4 linked regions of the Arabidopsis thaliana genome follow. The protein of the gene in region 1 interacts with the protein of each later gene in a biochemical or structural test. Each region holds a gene or a part of one and is shown in the gene's direction. Other genes may lie near its edges.

Region 1 (5,565 bases):
TTTATCTAAAATTTGTATTTTGATCTCTAGTTGGCAGGAAGTGACTCTAACAAGAGTACCATAGTTGAGAAGCAAGGTCTGGACAAGCTAATCACACTCGCACTACGATTCTCTGATGATCCTCTAGTCATACAAGAGGTAAGTATATAAACCAAACGAAAACCCTCTTATGACACTATGTCCCATGCGCAATTTTAAATCTTCCTGTCTAGAGAAGATACTTGTGACTACAGGTCACGTCTTTGGCAGTTTTCCACTAGATAGAACGTAATGTCGTGTGAAGAATGTTTCTTGTAGCATTAGGGTCTGAGTGCATAATCCTTGTGGTTGATCCAAGATATACTTGATTGGTTCAGGTGATGTTGATAATCTCTATAATCTGTCTGAGATCACCAGACCACGCAGCCAAGGCTATAGAAGCTGGAGCTGGTGATCTAGCGGTCCAAGCAATGAAGAGGTTCCCAGTAGCTGCTCAAATGCAGAGAAACGCTTGCAACATGATACGGAACATTGCTGTCAGAAGTGCAGAGAACAGGTTTTTGCTCTGTTTCCAATTCTTGTCATCCAACAATATGCACATATCGCAAACTCTTTTATAATATCAAGTTCTGTCTGCATGCACACTACAGAACTATTCTGCTTGCTAATGGAATCGAGAAGCTGATAAGAACTGCTAAAGCCAACAATGAGACATGCAGAGCCGCTGCAACTGATGCACTGAGAGACCTTGGCCTTGATAACTACAATAACTAAGGTCAATCTTTCTCCATTGGTTGGTACTCGCAACAACCGGAATGAATCCAGTTTTTTTTTTCAAAAATTTCATAAACAGTTTGCATTGAGTTCTCTCTTTTGGGTAGAAGGCATTCCGATCTAGTCTTTTTTGCAACGATTGCTTTTGTTCGAATGCTTGAACATGTAGTAAAATTGAAAGGAATTGATTGAAAATTTCGGTGAAAGGTACTCTAAATAGTAAAAAAGTAAATAGAGAAACAGAGGCTTCACAATGAGAAATTTTCATTCATTCACTAAAATCATTCGTTTAGTCAATGAATTTCCTTTATTTAGAAGAAATCGATTTTAGTTTGAAACAAGGACAAAATGTTTGTTTGACTAAAGGGAAGAGAAACAAAGACAAAATGTTCACGTCCATGGAATGATCGAGCTCTAGAAGAGTGTATTGGGAATATTAAGTACGGATATATGTTTTTAAAAGATGATTAAAAAAAAAGTTTGCAGCAAAATCGTCATGTGGATGCGCATAAACAAAAACTTTAGATAGTAAAAATGATGGGCTATAGTGATGATGAGTGCAACTCTATCGGTTTCAGCTTTTAGGTGAAGATCTGACAAGCTAGCCAACAATATCTCGACATTTGTGGTAACTTGTTTTTCTTTTATTTTCCGTTTTTAAATGCGGAAACCCTTTTTATATACCGAAATAGAAAGTAAATCTTTTTAGTGGTCATTAATACATGGAGGTTCCCATGATTAGCCATAAGCTTGTTTAATGCGAGTATATGTTTCATCAGCTCCGTTTCAGGACATATTTAAGGGGCAAAATTAATCCAGTAGCCAAAAATGTACATATGTAAGGGACATATTACGATATTAATATATAGATCCACTAACAGAAAAACTAATTGTTAATTTAAATTATTTCTATTTCATTTTTCACTGTGTTTGATTAAATTAAATTGGGATATAAAATCAATTCAAAATCTGTTATTTTAAATCTCATACCATTCTAGTGCTATATTTTTGAAAACTTAGATATTTTTAGTAACTGTTCTAGGCATAAATTTAATCAATTAATATTTTCATATTTTTTGCTATACTATTTACAATAAGACATATAATAAATCGGAAAAAATTAATGCATAATATTATGGAGAGATAAAACTTACTGAAAAATAAAGAGTAACAAATCACATAGTTTATACTAATACTTTGCCAATAAAAAGAAAGTTTATACTAATTAAAATATTATTTTCTATACTAGTCACGGTAAAAAAAAACATTTCTAAAAACTACAGGCCCCATTGTTTGTCAGAACGTTGTAAGTAGAAAGGGTAAATCCGTCATTTCAAACTATCTCCCATGCTTTGACAAATCACAATTCAACAGTTCACAGAAAAAGCGAAAACTTCTTCTATCTCTCTCATCTTTCTGTTTTGTATAGCTTACTTCAAGCTGTGGTTTAAACAGAACAGAGAAAGCTGTTTCCTTTTTATATTGACAGAGAAAAGGAAAGCTGATAGAGAGAGAGACAGAGAGAGAGAAACAGAGTTCAAGATCACGAGCCTTCCTTCTTCTTCTTCTTCTTCATCGAGAGCGATCAAAGGAACAAAAAGGATCTCAAGAAACCCACTTGTGTTGTTGGTTAGATACTTCACGGGTCTCTGAAAACGTCTCTTTCTCACAACCATAACTTGATCACCCAATACTCCTTTTCTCATCTTAAAGGCTCAAATTCATCCACGTCACACCGTTGTTCATTTCCTCTGATGTCTTGGTGTCGTTAGATATTGTCTCCCAAAAAAGAAATCTTCTTGACACAGAGATTGAAGTCGCAAAGAGACAGAGGAAAGAGGGGGAGAAAATGGATCGACCAGCAGTGAGTGGTCCAATGGATTTGCCGATTATGCACGATAGTGATAGGTATGAACTCGTCAAGGATATTGGCTCCGGTAATTTTGGAGTTGCGAGATTGATGAGAGACAAGCAAAGTAATGAGCTTGTTGCTGTTAAATATATCGAGAGAGGTGAGAAGGTCAGTTTATTTTCTTCTTGTTTTTTCTCCTTAGTCCAATTTTATTTTATGTTTCAATTCACTAGGTTCTTGAATTCAAAAGAAATCATTTTTGTGTGTTCATCATCCAATGAGAGATGTGTGTTTGGTTACTTTATGGTTATGAATGGTTTAACCCTATAGATTTACAAAATTGATTGATTTTTATGGAAGACCAAATTTGCTCTGCTTTGCTTTATGACTTATGTTGTATAGTGTTGTTTTAAAGGCTCTAGGTGTTTCTTTTGTTATGGAACGTGGTATTAATGGTGGGACTTTTTGTATTTGTACAGATAGATGAAAATGTAAAAAGGGAGATAATCAACCACAGGTCCTTAAGACATCCCAATATCGTTAGATTCAAAGAGGTTTGTTTTCAACTCTCTTTTAAGCTGTTTTCTTATTATTAACATTTTCAGGAAAAAAAAGGAATTCTATAATTTAATCCTTAGGATTGCTTCAGGTTATATTAACACCAACCCATTTAGCCATTGTTATGGAATATGCATCTGGAGGAGAACTTTTCGAGCGAATCTGCAATGCAGGCCGCTTCAGCGAAGACGAGGTTGTTCTCTCTTTTTTTTCTTGCTTTGATGATTAATCGAAGATTCAAAATGCTGAGGCTAATATATCGTTTACTATCATGTAGGCGAGGTTTTTCTTCCAGCAACTCATTTCAGGAGTTAGTTACTGTCATGCTATGGTAATGAAAAATGCTCTCTATCAAATCAATGCTTCATCCTCTGTGAAATTCAGCTGACTTAAGAAGTTAAATTTTATGTTGTAGCAAGTATGTCACCGAGACTTAAAGCTCGAGAATACGTTATTAGATGGTAGCCCGGCCCCTCGTCTAAAGATATGTGATTTCGGATATTCTAAGGTATCTTTGAAAACATTTCAGAAACTCTGAGTTAGTTAGTATCTCTAAGCTTTGTGTTTTCTTTTTCAGTCATCAGTGTTACATTCGCAACCAAAATCAACTGTTGGAACTCCTGCTTACATCGCTCCTGAGGTTTTACTAAAGAAAGAATATGATGGAAAGGTACTCCATTTTCATAGTTCCCAAACTAGTATGATAACCATATCTTATAGAAAGAACAATCTTTGTATTTTTATCCTCTGATTATAGATAGGGGAAACATGCTTTCTCTTGATGAAAGCTCACACAAATAAAACAATCTTGGCTCTTCAAGAATTTTGGTGAAGAAAGCTATTAAGAGTCTGATTTGTAAACTGATAATTCTTGAGTTTTGGTTGAATTAGTCAAATGCATCCTAATGTTCTTCTTTTTTTTCAGGTTGCAGATGTTTGGTCTTGTGGGGTTACTCTGTATGTCATGCTGGTTGGAGCATATCCTTTCGAAGATCCCGAGGAACCAAAGAATTTCAGGAAAACTATACATGTGAGCCTTTCACTTTCTTCATGCTTCAATAGTTGAAAAATGTAATTATGGATTTTATTACTTGCTAGCTAAACTATCTGTTCTCTTGTGAAAATATTTGCTCAGAGAATCCTGAATGTTCAGTATGCTATTCCGGATTATGTTCACATATCTCCTGAATGTCGCCATTTGATCTCCAGAATATTTGTTGCTGACCCTGCAAAGGTAAAGGAAGGATCATGAAAGCTGCATTTGTTGATTTATTTGTGAATTTTCTTTATAGTATGACTGAAAAGAGAACTTTGCATTTTGGCCCTCTTGGTTGGTTTCTTGGCAGAGGATATCAATTCCTGAAATAAGGAACCATGAATGGTTTCTAAAGAATCTACCGGCAGATCTAATGAACGATAACACGATGACCACTCAGTTTGATGAATCGGATCAACCGGGCCAAAGCATAGAAGAAATTATGCAGATCATTGCAGAAGCAACTGTTCCTCCTGCAGGCACTCAGAATCTGAACCATTACCTCACAGGTGAGACAACACAAAACATAAACTTTTCGATTTCTTGTCTTTTTTAATGCTTCTCAATGTTTGAAAAACTTATCATTAATGGATAAACAGGAAGCTTGGACATAGATGACGATATGGAGGAAGACTTAGAGAGCGACCTTGATGATCTTGACATCGACAGTAGCGGAGAGATTGTGTACGCAATGTGATACTATATATCTATTTGCATGGTTTCTGCTACAAAAATGTCAAACAAAAAATGTTGAAGAATAAGATTAAGATGTTTTGCTTGCTATTGAGTTGGCCCAACTTTGTCTCAATGAGTACACTTTGAATCTTTGATATGCAAAAGACTAAATTTCTAAACAAAAGTGAAAAAAAAAAAAAAAAACATTTTCATCAATCAGTATTTTATCTACTCTCTCTAGTATTTTTTGTTTGTTTTTCTAATAATACTAGAAACAAAATTGTTAAACTAATTTGGAGAAGTTGACAACTAAACAACATATAGGCTATGCAAAAGATAAAGAAATCGATATTCTGTAGTACTATACAGATTAAAGTGGGTACTTGATAATATCAAACTGAAGTAAATAGATGGGGCATATCTTGAAGACTTGAACTATATGGAAATAAGATGATATTCCCATTTTCACAAAAAATACAAAAACAGCATAAATGTAGATGGAACACATTCATTAATAATTTAATATGCATGTTATATGTTCAGAAGGACATACGTACGGTAATTCGCTTTAAATTAAAAAAGATGCTTATTCACGCATCTTCGTTTTTTTTCTTTTCTAAATATTTTTCGAATAATAAATTGATAATGAACCAGTACTTGATAGTTGTTCTTGTTCATTGAAATTAATATT
Region 2 (5,171 bases), on another chromosome or scaffold:
CACTGTTTTTCTTTGAGTTGGAAATACGAATGGAACTTTCTAGAAAATATGGTTTCCGCAGGAGATATGAGGAATTAGAACCATCACAAGTCTTTAATATGTTCATTATCTTGAAATCTTTAGCGTTTATATGATGATATCTGTTACATTGAACTTATGTGCAGAGGTAGAGAGAACCAGTACACACTTGTGAGCAGGGCTTTAATATTCTATTAGCAACCAGTTAAAACCATTTTTTGTGTGCAAAGCAACCAGTTAAAACATAAGTATATATAATTTTGTGTTAAGAGAATATTCTTAAAGAATTTTTCCAAGCAAATTCAAAACTTATTAAACTATATGCTAGAGTCAATGATGTACTTTAGCAGAAAAAAAAAAAACACTACTATAATTAGTGAATTGAGAGTATTATTGTCCTTGTATTTAATTTTTAAACGTAAAAAATAATAAGATGGGTTTGATAATGTGAAGGTGAGCCCAACTAAAAACTAGAGACGTGGACCAATGGAAAAAAAGTAAGAAGACTCTTTGGTTTCTGACATCTTCCCCCACAAAACACAAAGTCGATGTGAAAGCAAATAATAGTGTTCGTCCACGTTACATCGACAATCAACGGCTGAGATTTGGTTTCATTATGTGTCTGTCTCATCGAGGTTGGTTCGTGTTTTTGTTTTTGTTGGTTGTGACAGTAATGGAGCGACACGTTATTTCGTTACAACTACTTTTTTCTTTTTTAAAACTTTTGTAATCAGAGGACTAAAGAAGTAAGTGGACCGATCATAAATAACAAACTCAGGTGATTGATTATTGGACCTTTGTCACTTCAGGATGGAGAAGCGTTTTCAATTCACCGGTGAAATAAAATATTAGCTGATTTTTTTAAAAAGAATTAAGGTTTTGAATGGATATTGTGGATAAATCGGATTAAAATTTGGAATTATACCAATATTTTCTTTTTTAACGAACATTTTGATTGGTAAACTTTAATCCATTTTGATATGTAAACTTTCTGAGAAGTTTTAGGACTATACCCATATATAATACCAATTTTTTATGTAAGAACTATATGAATTATTTTGTATATAGAGTTTTTTTTTCTTTTTGTTTTGTATATACCACTACAAATTATAATTTTGTGAATGATAAATAAGAAGTTGTCTAATCTACAAACCCATTTTGTTCTCCAACCACCGCAACCATGTGTACCTAAACAAATAAATATTAATTGGTTAATTAGCACAATTGTTAGAGTGAAATTATTATCTCGAATCCGATATAAAGAATTTGTCACTATTCTTTCCAAAATTTCCGATATTCAAAGTGTTGAGATCAATAGTAAAAATTTGAATCCGTCCAAATTGATTTAAATACAATTTTAAAGTTTACATACCCAAAAATCATTTGGTTTCTCTCAAAATATTTAAATATTTAGATATTACTTGGAAATCTGGGTAGTAACAATTTGGATTTGTCCAAGCAACATTTGGATCTAGATATCATAATTTCCAAGTCAACATATCCAAATTCGCCAGATATAATATTAATATATATATATATATATGTAAAATACAATATTTTCATTTCTTTTCTAGTATATAATACTTTATTTTCATAAACATAATCCAATCTTAATTTTACAATTTTAAAGACGTTTTAACATTTTAATTTATTGTGTAGATACAATGATTTTTGGACGGAATTCCAAAGTGAAAACAACTTATTTTAGGAACCTAAAGTAAATTAAAACAACATAAATCCTGAAAAGGAAAACAATTAGTAAGTGAAATTAGTAAAATAAAAACGAAGAGGGAAAGTGACGCAAAATACAAAGATACAGAGTATATACCATTTTATTAAAATAATTAGCAAAAGTAGTATTTATTCAAGATTGTTAGGAGCCAGAGAGACACTTGGCTCACCAGACAAACTACCTAATCACCCAAACGAAGAACCAAACATTTTGAAATTTTTTGGGAAAATTACAAAGCACACGAATTTAGCAAAAAGGTAATAGATTTTTCTTCTCTTTGTGTGTATAGAAGAAACTGTGGTTTTTGTTCATCTTCTTTTAATTCTTTCGATTTATGTCCACACTTAATTTTTGGATAAAATTACTAATTGTGCCTAATACTTGTCATAAACGCATTCATATTCTCCTGTTGGTTTAATCTGTTTTTATCCATTTGACTATTAAAGTTTTGAAATCTGTTAGTGTTTTTGAATTGGGTTTTGCAGATTTCTTGATTTTTATTTATAGATTAGGGTTCTGATACTAAAGTTTGGATTTTTAAACTAAAGTTTGGATTTTTTTTTGTATTCATGGTTCAGATCCAGTTATTAGGTGGAAGCAGATTTTGTAGAAAAATGGATGGTAGTATGAATTTGGGGAATGAGCCACCAGGAGATGGTGGTGGAGGTGGAGGGTTGACTAGACAAGGTTCGATATACTCGTTGACGTTTGATGAGTTTCAGAGCAGTGTAGGGAAAGATTTTGGGTCAATGAACATGGATGAGTTGTTAAAGAATATATGGAGTGCTGAAGAAACACAAGCCATGGCTAGTGGTGTGGTTCCAGTTCTTGGTGGAGGTCAAGAGGGTTTGCAGCTGCAGAGGCAAGGCTCGTTGACTCTGCCTCGAACGCTTAGTCAGAAGACGGTTGATCAAGTTTGGAAAGATCTATCCAAAGTTGGAAGTAGTGGAGTAGGGGGAAGTAACTTGTCTCAGGTGGCTCAGGCTCAGAGTCAGAGTCAGAGTCAGAGGCAGCAAACATTAGGTGAAGTAACTTTGGAGGAGTTTTTGGTTCGTGCTGGTGTTGTGAGAGAGGAAGCTCAGGTTGCTGCAAGAGCTCAGATTGCTGAGAACAATAAAGGCGGTTACTTTGGTAATGATGCCAACACAGGTTTCTCTGTCGAGTTTCAGCAGCCTTCTCCACGAGTTGTTGCCGCTGGTGTAATGGGAAATCTTGGTGCAGAGACTGCAAATTCTTTGCAGGTTCAAGGTTCTAGTTTGCCTCTGAATGTGAATGGAGCTAGAACAACATACCAGCAATCGCAACAGCAACAGCCAATCATGCCTAAGCAGCCTGGTTTTGGTTATGGAACACAAATGGGTCAGCTTAATAGTCCTGGGATAAGAGGTGGTGGTCTTGTGGGACTTGGAGATCAGTCTTTAACGAACAATGTGGGCTTTGTCCAAGGTGCTTCTGCTGCAATTCCTGGAGCTTTAGGCGTTGGTGCTGTGTCGCCTGTTACGCCATTGTCATCAGAAGGGATAGGGAAGAGTAATGGTGATTCTTCATCACTCTCTCCGTCTCCTTACATGTTTAATGGTGGTGTGAGAGGTAGAAAGAGTGGCACTGTGGAGAAAGTTGTAGAGAGAAGGCAAAGGAGAATGATAAAGAACCGAGAATCAGCTGCAAGGTCCCGGGCCAGGAAACAGGTTAATCTCTTCATCACCATCTATCTATGTACTCTTGATTGTGTTATAAGCCAAAAGATATGTAAAGTAAATTGGTTAGCTTATCTTGTAGTTAAGTTCTTTAACCACAATGAAGCGTTGAATTCAAAGCGTAAAGTGTCTTGTGTGAAGTAGTGTAGTAAACAACTAAACAGAATTATTGGGACTTGAAATCAGTACTTGTGGCTGAATGAATCTCGCAAACAAATATGAACCTTCTGGTTTTGGTGTATATACATGTTGCCCATCCGCAGATATTCACGGCAGACCAAACAATATACTGGAATGTAATTTGCTAATGTCATGAGGTGGCTCAGAGTTTAAATGAGTAGTGAGGGTTCATCGTCAAAACCTGAGTAGTGGCGACATGGTTTTTCTTTTGGGGCAAGGTAATGGGTAATTGGTGCTCCCAAAAACCTGTTACATCTGACATGTACTATGACCAAACTGTTGAGTTCTACATTTGAGGGTCTAAATGTTTTGAATGGCACTCTAGTCTTTATCTCATAAGCTTCTCAGTCGTGCTTGTTTTGGTTCATAGGCTTACACCGTGGAGCTTGAAGCTGAAGTTGCAAAGTTAAAGGAAGAGAATGACGAGTTACAACGAAAGCAGGTAATCACAAAACCATGTCTCAGCATCACAGTTGCTCATACGTTACATTCATTTCTCATTGTACGCCTCATGTTTTACAGGCAAGGATCATGGAAATGCAAAAGAATCAGGTAATAATTCTTATGCCAATGCAACAACACTGGAATCTCTAAACTGCACATTTCATAGCTGAACTTGTAAACTTGGTTGTTTGTTTCCGTGCTATGTATAAAACAGGAGACGGAGATGAGGAATCTTCTGCAAGGAGGTCCAAAGAAAAAGCTGAGGAGGACAGAGTCGGGACCTTGGTGAATCAATCAATGCCATCATACTTAGTTTCTGTAGATAAATGACATCCCACTTAGGTGTTTTAGTTGAATTAGACTTAATAGAGAAGAGCTTTCATCGTTTATATTGTAAGCTCTCTCCATATATGTTATGTTTTTTACATACACAGGATCATCAGAATCTCTTTTGCTTTATTTAGACCAAGAATTTTGTGTGTGTTTCTCGTTGTTGTTTGTCGTTGTCGCTATTAAACCTCAAAATGTACTTTCTTGATCTTGGAGTTACCAATTTTGAAGAATTGAAGTGTTGTTTGGTTTCTCTGAGTGCCAAAACTATGACCTGTGCCAACACAGCATTCTAGCCTTCTAGGCAAGCGACTATAACCCAAACCGAACCGAACCTTGGTCATTTCGGACGGATGAGGTAACCGAGTCGGTTTGATGTGGTTCACTGAACCGACAGTTACACAAAGTAAACATTTGTACTGAAATTTATGTATGTATCAAAGTAAAATTCCTCTAAATTCGATAACCAAACCAAACGGGATTAATCATTTGCATGGAGAATAAATACATAACCGAACCAATTTAACCGATGACCGAATCGAACCAAAACCGACTTATTCGGTTTGATTTTTTAGTTACTAAAAATGAAAGTGTTCACTCTCATTCTCTCCCACTTCGTCGCTCAAATTCTCCCTAATTTCACCTGCAAAACCCTAGTTTTTCGTTGATTCGTTTCGTCTCCGGTGTAAAATCAAATACTATCTTTAGGTATTTCGTCTTACCCAACTCTATCTTTCCATGTTTTCCGAGGACAAAATAAAAGGTTAATT
Region 3 (5,971 bases), on another chromosome or scaffold:
GACGCATAATTGTGCCGCATATAAATGCCGTCAGCTTAATTTTGGCAGTTTTCGTTACACGAAAATGGAACAAATGTAAATGATCAAATAAGAGAGGACCCATAACATCATATATGTGTCGGCCTTTCGATCACCCTCTCCACATAAAACCTCAAATGGCCATATTTTTTTCATTTATATATTTCTTAAATGGAGTAATACCCATTACCCAAAAAAGTGGTCACCAAGAGGAATTATTCTGTTATAGATTCCACCATCGAAGCTAAAAGCAAATAGATATATTATTGATAAAATAAAATAAGGATGGCTGCTAGAAATAGAAACGCATGGGTGTTTTGGATAATCCTATAATATATGTTTGGTAAATATAATATTACATTTTCGATAACTTATTGTATTAAGTTCATATTTAAAACCAACTCGTGCTAAGAAACGAATAAATGCCGTGGAGCATAAATATTAGTAACTTGGTATATTAAATAAGTGAGACTTACATTTGTTTTTAAAATTTGGTCAAGGGTTTACATTTCTCATTTAAAGAAATGTCATAAGATAAACTAAACAAAAATTATAGTTGTTGAGATTAGGTAGCTTGAATGTTAACTCAAAAGTTTCATGCTTTTTCATTCGCTCAATTGCTTTTGTTTTGAATGGAGCAATCAGAAGAAAATAAGTTTAATTGTTAAAACAAGTCGCCAACAATTTTTGAACCATTGAAAACATAAACCAATATTTGAAGCATTTAAGAAAGATTTTTTTTTTGAATCATGGATGTTGAAAACTTTGACTTCGATCAAAGGACAAAATTTTCAATTTTCAATCTTTATGATATCGTAAATCACTTTATTTTTGAAAAGTGAATCAAAAAACATTTGTCGAACTCTAATAGCTTGAACTCAAAATTTTTCAGTAATCATAAAATCTCCAGATTTTACTGCATTTTTTATTTTTACATTCGAATTACCTTGTTTAAATATGTAGATTATGTACTTTCGCTTTTGTTTTCCTTAACCATATTGTTTTCCTTTTAAAACATAGATGCCAAATATTAAGTTTATTTTAGTATCACTTTAAACCACATATCTTAAACAATTTAGTTACATTAAATTCAAACAATATAATGCAAGTAAATGAATAAAGATGGGGATATAAAAAAAGGTAAAGAAAAACAAAGGTAAAGATTGCTTTGACTAAATATAGCCAAATAGGCAAATATAATTACAGTCCTTCATCTTTTCTCTAGCTTTAGAATTTGTCTTCAAATATGAACATAATTAGTATAGTATTTTGATAATCACTTTATAGAAAGCTTGAATTATATGAATCAACATCCCACTTATCAAAAGCCACACTTTTCATTTCCTTTTTCACTCTCACTTTGACATTTTAACTTTCCTCATAATTACAAAAAAATATTGTATTAAATAGTAATTACTAAAATTAAGAAAATTCTTAGCATCTGAAGATTTAGTTGACTAATCTCAGACCTAATCTGTTTCAGTAAACTCTATATATGTAAATTAAATTATATCTCTGATTATAAATTAAAAACAAAAAAACAAAAAACGTCTCTTTGTATCTCCTCAAAAGCCGAAACAAAACCTCTCTTTCTCACAAGTAAGCAACTTCAAAATCTGGTTAACCCAAATTACAAAAAAAACAAAAAAATAAAAAGTCGCTCTCTTTCTTCTTAAAAATCTCAACTTTGTCGTCCAAAACTCCAAATCCAGAAACCCATACGCAAATATCCTTCTACGTGTTTGCTCCTTTCACGTTTTTCTCGAATCTTCTCGCATTTACCAATCAAACAGATTCTAAAGTTCCAAACTTTTTCTTTCTTTCTCAAACCATTCTCTGTTTCTCAACTCTTCACTTTCCAGTGGTAAGATTTGAATCATGGGTTTCTCAAATTCTTAACTTTTCACAAAAGCCCACCATGGAAATCGAATCAGGAAGTTATCAAAACGCCAAGGTAAGTCATCATCAGATTTGATCACAAAGTTCTTACCTTTACGAAAACTCTCTTCTCTTTCCTCGTAATCATCGATATCTGATTTTGTTGATTGCAGAAGGAATCATGGAGAACAGTATTAACATTAGCGTATCAAAGCTTAGGTGTTGTATACGGAGACTTGAGTATTTCACCTCTATATGTATACAAAAGCACATTCGCTGAAGACATTCATCACTCTGAATCCAACGAAGAGATCTTTGGTGTTTTGTCTTTCATCTTTTGGACAATCACTCTTGTCCCTCTTCTTAAATACGTTTTCATAGTTCTTAGAGCAGATGATAATGGTGAAGGAGGCACTTTTGCTCTTTACTCGCTTTTATGTCGACACGCACGAGTCAACTCGTTACCGAGTTGTCAATTGGCTGATGAGCAGCTTATTGAGTATAAGACTGATTCAATTGGTTCGTCTTCGATGCCTCAATCTGGTTTTGCAGCGAGTTTGAAATCTACTCTTGAGAAACATGGAGTTTTGCAGAAGATTTTGCTTGTTCTTGCTTTGATTGGGACTTGTATGGTTATTGGTGATGGTGTTCTCACGCCTGCTATTTCAGGTTTAGTCAACAAAAATATCTTTGACTTTTCTCTTTGTTTCATGTCAAAGACAAGATCATTGATTTGTTTTACTTATCACTGTTCATTTCTTTTGTCTATTACAGTTTTTTCTGCAGTATCTGGTGTTGAGCTTTCAATGTCTAAGGAGCATCACAAGTGTGAGTTTTTTCTCACTATTCTTGATTAGTTTCCTAGGCCTAGTTCATGGTGATTGTGGTCATAGATTGAGTCTAGTTTTCTCACAAGCTTGGGTCCTAGAATCATCCTGAAGTCGTCGGGTTTTTTTTCTTAACTGTGGAGCCCGTTGTTCCCACCATCTGTTTATTTGATTGCTTGATAGAGTTTGCACGTAACACGAATTAAATATCGTGGCGCCATCACGATATCAGGATTATCTATATCGCTTTCGGTTCCTTAATTTGATGGCCCACGTTATTGAATAGGTGTTTGGAGTCTTCTCTAGACATCAAGTGGATATCTATACCAAAACTAGTAGTTCATTATTGGATCTTTGTGTAACATTTTACTTTATTATTGAGTTTCAATCTGCAACTGTCATGTTCAACAAGTCTCGTAGATGTTAAAGTTTTGACCTTTTGCCTCATAATAAGGTTATTGTGATTGTGTCTGAAACTTTTTTCTTTGGCTTTTTGTTTTGTTTATGCAGATATAGAACTCCCTGCTGCTTGTGTAATTCTGATAGGTTTGTTTGCACTTCAGCACTACGGTACACACAGGGTCGGGTTCTTGTTCGCCCCGGTGATTCTGTTGTGGCTAATGTGTATCAGCGCCATCGGTGTTTACAACATTTTCCATTGGAACCCGCATGTGTACCAAGCACTTTCTCCTTATTACATGTACAAGTTCCTCAAGAAAACTCAAAGTAGAGGCTGGATGTCTCTTGGTGGTATCTTACTCTGCATTACAGGTTCCGAAGCAATGTTTGCGGATCTAGGACATTTTTCTCAACTCTCAATCAAGGTCTTATAGACTTCTTCTCTTCTCTATTTCTTCTTAACATTTGTTCTCCATTTTCCTTCTTAACATTCTCTATTGTCCTCTTGTTACAGATTGCTTTTACGTCACTTGTTTACCCGTCCTTGATACTCGCCTACATGGGACAAGCAGCTTATCTCTCTCAGCATCATATTATTGAAAGCGAATACAATATCGGGTTTTATGTATCGGTACCAGAAAGATTAAGATGGCCAGTTCTTGTGATCGCTATACTCGCTGCTGTAGTTGGAAGTCAAGCAATCATCACAGGAACATTCTCGATCATCAAACAATGCTCTGCATTGGGATGCTTCCCTAAAGTGAAGATTGTTCATACGTCATCCAAAATCCACGGTCAGATTTACATCCCTGAGATCAATTGGATCTTGATGGTTCTCTGTTTAGCTGTCACCATTGGCTTCAGAGACACCAAGCGGTTGGGTAATGCTTCAGGTATTTATAACTGAAATCATTTCATTTTAGTTTGGTTACTACTTCAGGTACCGTTGCTAACTAACTAACCGTTGATAATGTTTTTTTAATAGGATTGGCGGTTATAACTGTTATGCTGGTGACAACATGCTTAATGTCACTAGTGATTGTACTTTGCTGGCACAAGAGTGTCATCTTTGCAATCGTATTCGTTGTATTCTTCGGCACAATCGAATCTCTCTACTTCTCTGCTTCCTTAATCAAATTCCTCGAAGGCGCATGGGTTCCAATCGCCCTCGCTTTTTGCTTCCTTCTCGCGATGTGTACTTGGCACTACGGAACACTCAAGCGCTATGAGTACGATGTGCAAAACAAAGTCTCGGTCAACTGGCTCCTCAGTCTTAGTCAAACCCTCGGGATCGCACGTGTCCGTGGCCTTGGACTCATCCACACCGAGCTCGTCTCTGGTGTCCCCGCGATATTCTCTCATTTTGTCACCAACCTCCCTGCCTTCCACCAGGTTCTCGTCTTCCTCTGTGTCAAATCTGTTCCGGTTCCGCATGTTCGTCCTCAGGAACGGTTTCTAGTAGGACGCATCGGGCCAAAAGAGTTCCGCATATACCGTTGCATTGTCCGGTTCGGGTACCGTGATGTCCACAAAGACGATTTCGAGTTTGAAGGCGATCTTGTATGTAGCATTGCCGAGTTTATCCGTACTGAAGCTGAAACCGCCGCCACCGCTGCAGAGACCAACGGAGAGGATGATGATAGAATGTCAGTAGTAGGTACTTGTTCCACATACATGCAAGGAATTGAGGATCACTACGAAAGCGATATTGATGACCCTGATAAACCAGGGACGTCAGAGATTCGATCACCAAAACCAAAGAAAAAGAGTAAGAGTAAGGTCAAAAAGAGAGTGAGGTTTGTTGTCCCGGAGACTCCAAAGATAGAAAAGGAAACTAGGCAAGAGTTAATGGAGCTAACAGAGGCACGAGAGGGAGGCGTGGCTTATATAATGGGAAACGCTTATATGAAAGCGAAGCCAGGATCAGGATTACTCAAGAGACTCGCCATTAACATTGGCTACGAGTTTCTTAGGAGGAACACTAGAGGTCCTAGAAACATGCTTACCTCGCCTCACGCTTCTACTTTAGAAGTCGGTATGATCTATAATGTCTAAAGGGGGGTATTTTGGTCTTTTTGTAAATGCTTTTGTTGTGGTTTAATTTGCCAAAAAAAAAAAAATGAATTAGATATAGCTAAAGAAATTTTGTTCTGTGGAGGTTTTGCTAAAGGTTGTTAGAGTTTATAGCTCAAGAATCCTCCCTTAGAGCCAAATATAGAGTTCAAACTTGTGTACAAATGATATATGTGAATCATGTTTACAATATGTTTGTGATTACATTGTCCCATTTTAAAGCAAAAAATAGTCCATGAGGTTGTATGGAGCATGGTGGGCTACTAATGGGCCATCAAAACAAAATTTCGAAAAAGTTAAAACCGGTTAAGCTAATCAGATTTAGCCAGACCGGACCAAATCCGAAGATGAAAATCCATTCGTCGAGCTGTCAATGTTGGACTGGTATTAATTTGTCTGAAAGCGATCTGACTTTGGATAATATTACTCAAATAACAGCTCAAATGTTTTAAAACTGAAACCACGTGCTTCTCTAAATTTTAGTTATCCTTTCTCTTTCGTTTATATTATTAATTTTTCTGACTCAAATTCAGTCTTGCTTTTTTTTTATAAATGAAACTATTTAAGCAATCTCATTGTATGAGTTTTTGTATGATTTATCTAATAAGTAGTATATTCTTTTTTATGTGTCCCTAGTTATCTTCTTTACGTCATGAATTTTCTTGTCGTGTATGAAATATTATAATTTGCAGACATTGTGTTCGAAACGTAAACTCAGAAGTCTTATACAAGAATATACAGTTTTGATAATTTACTTATTACTTGTGGTTGTGACT
Region 4 (4,373 bases), on another chromosome or scaffold:
GAGACCGTCACAGCTATCAAAAGAAACTAAGAAGAATTCTTCGTCCTCCTTCTCCTTCTCCTTCTCCTTCTCCTTGTCCTTCTCCCAAGGTGTAGGGATGGTGACCGATGATGATGAACCCAACACCAGTGTAGTTAGATGTTTTAAATCCGGGTTAAAATAATCCTCACGACTTCTGGAGACCATGAGAAGAGCTGGATCACCTGATTGCTGACGCTGTGTCAATTGTCTTTGTTGGAAGAATGGAGATTCGATCGATGATTTCCATTGTTTCGATACAGCCGTGAATCTCAGCAGAGAATCCACAGCAAGTCTTCTCTAGGATGCGCTCTACGACCTCGTGGGGCAGCGATTCCATCCTCAAGCAGCGTTGCTTTTTTGACATTCTTTTTGTGATTGTTTTGTTGAACAGGGGCTTGCTTATTTATAACCAGGAAAAGAATAATTCTTCTTTATCCTTGATTTCCTTTTCCTTAAGGAAAAAGGATCTTCCTAACCGCTTTGAACCCTATCTCTCTGTTTTTCGGTTTTCCCTTTTACTTCTAGGGTTTTCATAAAGCCTTGGAACCCAATTACGTGTTTTAAACCGACGGTCATGATCTTGTCTTCAGGATCAGATATATATTATTCGACACATCGTGGGACCCACCACTATTCTGACTGGGTCTGCCTGCTTTCCGGTTGCTTCCAATAATGTCGAACCAAAAAGCCACGAACGCTAAATAAGAATCTACTTTGCAAGTCTAAGAGATTCATGCAATAATTCTTCACTAATGTTGTGGGTTTTGAAAACATTAGGTATTGCAAGAATATAGATTTTGTAAACACACCCTAATGATCTCAAACCTTATATATATGGTTAACAATCTAATCCCATAAGTATTCCCATTTCACAACACTCATATATTGTTAGAGCTATATGAAGTAAGGTTACATTACAACTTTTTGTTTACTATAAAAACAAAAACTACAGGCTATAAATGCCAAGGTTTAGAACAACTTAGGGGCGTTACTCTTACAAAACTTGTGGCGGTATAGTGGTCATCTCTGTGGCAATCTACCTTCAATGTGTGAGGGTTCGATCTCAAGCTTAGCTTATATTTGTAATTTTTTATTAATCAACAGTCCGAATATTGTTTTAAACCTGATTCATAAACAAACATTATAAATTATAAATTATAGATTGTATCATATTATTCAAGAAGTTGTGAAAATAATCACGGCTTATGTGAGTTTGTCTTATGGTCCTATGACTCCTAATCCATGCGAGGCTATTTGATGATTTATTATATCACTTTTGTATTATTTTGAGTTCATTGATCAAAGTTTTTTGTTTGGATAAAGGGAAAACGTAAAGCATTTTGGAACGAAATTCATAGAAAAATCTCTTACAAAGAAGAAGAATATATGCCATTCATATTTCTGCACATATGTTTGGTTGCTTTAATCTTTCGACCCCTTTTTCCAAAATGTTAGTATTATATGTTAAGTTTATAAGTTTTAACCAAACAAGAGGAGCTAACAGAAATCGAATTAACGACTCAAATTATGTTTTGTATAGAAAAGAGCAAATTGACTTTGGTTGCATTTGAATCTCGTGACTAATGGAACGGCCTTTTTTTTTTTTTTTTTTTCATCGTCTCTCACCTTTTCCAAGTAGTTTGGATCGAAAAGCTTTCACGAGAAACCTAAGAAACTTTCCAGGAAAGTTTTGGTTCACATACGCATTAACTCACACCATTCACCAAGCTTTCTCGTGCCCCTTAACCACAAACTTTGCTTTTTTTAACTTAGTCCATTGCATCTTTCTATATACATTAACATGTTTCCTTTCCATACTAGAAGAAAAATATCTTCTCTTGTGTTTCAAATTATCAAATTGCTCTGATCAATGGAGAGGAAACAGTCAAATGCTCATTCCACTTTCGCCGACATCAATGAAGTTGAAGATGAAGCAGAGCAAGAACTGCAACAGCAAGAGAACAACAACAACAAGAGATTCTCTGGAAACAGAGGACCAAACCGAGGGAAACAAAGACCATTCAGAGGTTTTAGCAGACAGGTTTCGCTAGAGACAGGTTTCTCAGTGCTCAACAGAGAATCTAGAGAAAGAGATGACAAAAAGAGTTTACCGAGGAGTGGTCGTAGCTTTGGCGGGTTTGAATCAGGTGGAATCATCAACGGTGGAGATGGTCGGAAAACAGATTTTAGTATGTTTAGGACTAAATCAACGCTCAGCAAACAAAAGTCTTTATTGCCTTCTATAATAAGGGAGAGAGACATTGAGAATTCTTTAAGAACTGAAGATGGTGAGACCAAAGATGATTCTATAAATGAAAATGTTTCTGCAGGAAGATACTTTGCTGCTCTTAGAGGACCTGAATTGGATGAAGTCAAGGTAACAACTCTTCTTCTTTCTCTTTCTCTCTTCAAAACTTAATTATCAGTTAGTTCCAATTGTACTCTCTTGCAGGACAATGAAGATATTCTGCTTCCAAAAGAGGAGCAATGGCCGTTTCTCCTAAGGTTCCCAATTGGATGCTTCGGTATCTGTTTGGGACTTAGCAGTCAAGCTGTCTTGTGGCTTGCCCTAGCGAAAAGTCCTGCAACAAACTTTTTACACATCACACCATTGATTAACTTAGTTGTATGGCTATTTTCACTGGTAGTTTTAGTCTCTGTGTCCTTCACTTACATACTCAAATGCATCTTCTACTTTGAAGCTGTCAAAAGAGAGTATTTTCATCCTGTTCGAGTCAACTTCTTCTTCGCTCCTTGGGTGGTTTGCATGTTCCTAGCCATTAGCGTACCTCCCATGTTCTCACCAAACCGAAAATACCTCCATCCCGCCATTTGGTGTGTTTTCATGGGTCCTTATTTCTTCCTCGAGCTAAAGATCTACGGGCAATGGCTTTCGGGAGGGAAGAGGCGACTATGCAAAGTCGCAAACCCATCTTCTCATCTTTCTGTTGTAGGGAATTTCGTCGGGGCCATCTTAGCTTCAAAAGTTGGATGGGATGAAGTAGCTAAGTTTCTATGGGCAGTAGGTTTTGCACATTACTTGGTTGTGTTTGTAACACTTTATCAGAGACTTCCCACCAGTGAAGCTCTTCCTAAAGAGCTTCATCCTGTTTACTCTATGTTCATTGCTGCCCCATCAGCAGCAAGTATTGCTTGGAACACGATATATGGCCAATTCGACGGATGTTCAAGAACTTGCTTCTTCATTGCACTCTTCCTATACATATCCCTAGTTGCTCGGATCAATTTCTTCACTGGATTTAAGTAAGTCCATCTCGGGTTTAAATATTCTTGGTTGAAGATATATGTTGATGATACTAAGTGGCTACGGGGTTTTGCAGGTTCTCAGTGGCGTGGTGGTCATATACTTTTCCTATGACAACAGCATCCGTAGCAACAATAAAGTATGCAGAGGCAGTACCTGGTTACCCGAGCCGGGCTCTAGCACTCACTCTTTCCTTCATTTCCACAGCGATGGTCTGCGTTTTGTTTGTCTCCACGCTTCTCCACGCCTTTGTCTGGCAAACGTTGTTCCCAAACGATCTTGCAATTGCCATTACAAAGAGGAAACTTACCAGGGAGAAGAAGCCTTTTAAAAGAGCTTATGACTTGAAGCGCTGGACCAAGCAGGCTCTGGCGAAGAAAATATCTGCAGAAAAAGATTTTGAAGCAGAGGAAGAGTCGCATCACTGATGTAAAATCATGGAATACAGAAGTATCTTTTAGATCGAAATAATAGTTCAGAAAAACACTTAGATATAGAGACAAAAGTAGGTGAGATAGCATATTGTATGTATCTCCAGAAGCATGTTTAATAGTAATACTACATCAATAATACAGAACCCAAAAATCACATTCACATTTCAAAGCTAGCTGAAGAAGAGATCACACAAGAAAGAATTCACGGTTTGACATGAATCAAACAGGCAAAGAAATGGTCCTCTGGTTTGCTAAGTTGGTCTCTGATCGGAGGTCCCATGAAGTAGAATACTGTGAATCCTCAGGTTTAATAAAAGGCAGAGTGATCTCATTGATCATTAATTCTCCACAGAACGGGCATTCGCTGGCAATAGCATCATCTAGCTCTGATCGAAGCTGCCTCACCGTAAAGAAAATATGTCAGGTCACAGAAAAATGTTAAAGAAAAGATTAAAAAAGGAAAAGAAAATGTCCCTACCTTGTCTGCAGTTGTTGTGCTTGTTATGGGTTCATCAGATCGGTTACCATTTATATCCCTCCGGGTTTCGCTTCCAAGCAATGTCAGTTGCTTCTGCAGATCGAGTATATGCTCGGCCTAGACAGATTTTGGGAAAACCAATCAAAAAATGGAATCACAATAACGAACAAATATT

The links.
Region 2: of the proteins of OST1 (region 1) and ABF2, one has a biochemical effect on the other in vitro, tested with the Arabidopsis thaliana proteins (3 studies listed by BioGRID).
Region 3: of the proteins of OST1 (region 1) and KUP6, one has a biochemical effect on the other in vitro, tested with the Arabidopsis thaliana proteins (one study listed by BioGRID).
Region 4: of the proteins of OST1 (region 1) and OZS1, one has a biochemical effect on the other in vitro, tested with the Arabidopsis thaliana proteins (4 studies listed by BioGRID).

What each region holds. Positions count from the first base shown.
Region 1 is NC_003075.7:16,269,762-16,275,326, forward strand, and holds OST1 (Protein kinase superfamily protein), read left to right. Parts: upstream 1-1,983; 5' UTR 1,984-2,602; coding exon 2,603-2,773; intron 2,774-3,084; coding exon 3,085-3,159; intron 3,160-3,254; coding exon 3,255-3,356; intron 3,357-3,440; coding exon 3,441-3,494; intron 3,495-3,578; coding exon 3,579-3,671; intron 3,672-3,740; coding exon 3,741-3,833; intron 3,834-4,088; coding exon 4,089-4,193; intron 4,194-4,298; coding exon 4,299-4,397; intron 4,398-4,509; coding exon 4,510-4,708; coding exon of another isoform or gene 4,709-4,755; exon of another isoform or gene 4,756-4,798; coding exon 4,799-4,896; 3' UTR 4,897-5,064; downstream 5,065-5,565. Other genes in the region: AT4G33945 (ARM repeat superfamily protein), read left to right, coding at 31-138, 357-535, 630-753.
Region 2 is NC_003070.9:17,164,609-17,169,779, reverse strand, and holds ABF2 (abscisic acid responsive elements-binding factor 2), read left to right. Parts: upstream 1-1,890; 5' UTR 1,891-2,007; intron 2,008-2,038; exon of another isoform or gene 2,039-2,298; 5' UTR 2,299-2,319; coding exon 2,320-3,438; coding exon of another isoform or gene 3,439-3,591; exon of another isoform or gene 3,592-3,710; coding exon of another isoform or gene 3,711-3,755; exon of another isoform or gene 3,756-3,997; coding exon 3,998-4,069; intron 4,070-4,149; coding exon 4,150-4,179; intron 4,180-4,285; coding exon 4,286-4,360; 3' UTR 4,361-4,622; downstream 4,623-5,171. UniProt on the Arabidopsis thaliana protein: Involved in ABA and stress responses and acts as a positive component of glucose signal transduction. Functions as a transcriptional activator in the ABA-inducible expression of rd29B.
Region 3 is NC_003070.9:26,477,199-26,483,169, reverse strand, and holds KUP6 (K+ uptake permease 6), read left to right. Parts: upstream 1-1,539; 5' UTR 1,540-1,936; coding exon 1,937-1,972; intron 1,973-2,069; coding exon 2,070-2,565; intron 2,566-2,670; coding exon 2,671-2,724; intron 2,725-3,233; coding exon 3,234-3,547; intron 3,548-3,636; coding exon 3,637-4,015; intron 4,016-4,107; coding exon 4,108-5,177; 3' UTR 5,178-5,427; downstream 5,428-5,971. UniProt on the Arabidopsis thaliana protein: Probable potassium transporter.
Region 4 is NC_003070.9:4,256,768-4,261,140, reverse strand, and holds OZS1 (C4-dicarboxylate transporter/malic acid transport protein), read left to right. Parts: upstream 1-1,840; 5' UTR 1,841-1,891; coding exon 1,892-2,398; intron 2,399-2,473; coding exon 2,474-3,285; intron 3,286-3,362; coding exon 3,363-3,714; 3' UTR 3,715-3,873; downstream 3,874-4,373. Other genes in the region: AT1G12490 (F-box associated ubiquitination effector family protein), read right to left, coding at 1-175, 204-358; AT1G12470 (zinc ion binding protein), read right to left, coding at 3,940-4,116, 4,199-4,315. UniProt on the Arabidopsis thaliana protein: Slow, weak voltage-dependent S-type anion efflux channel involved in maintenance of anion homeostasis.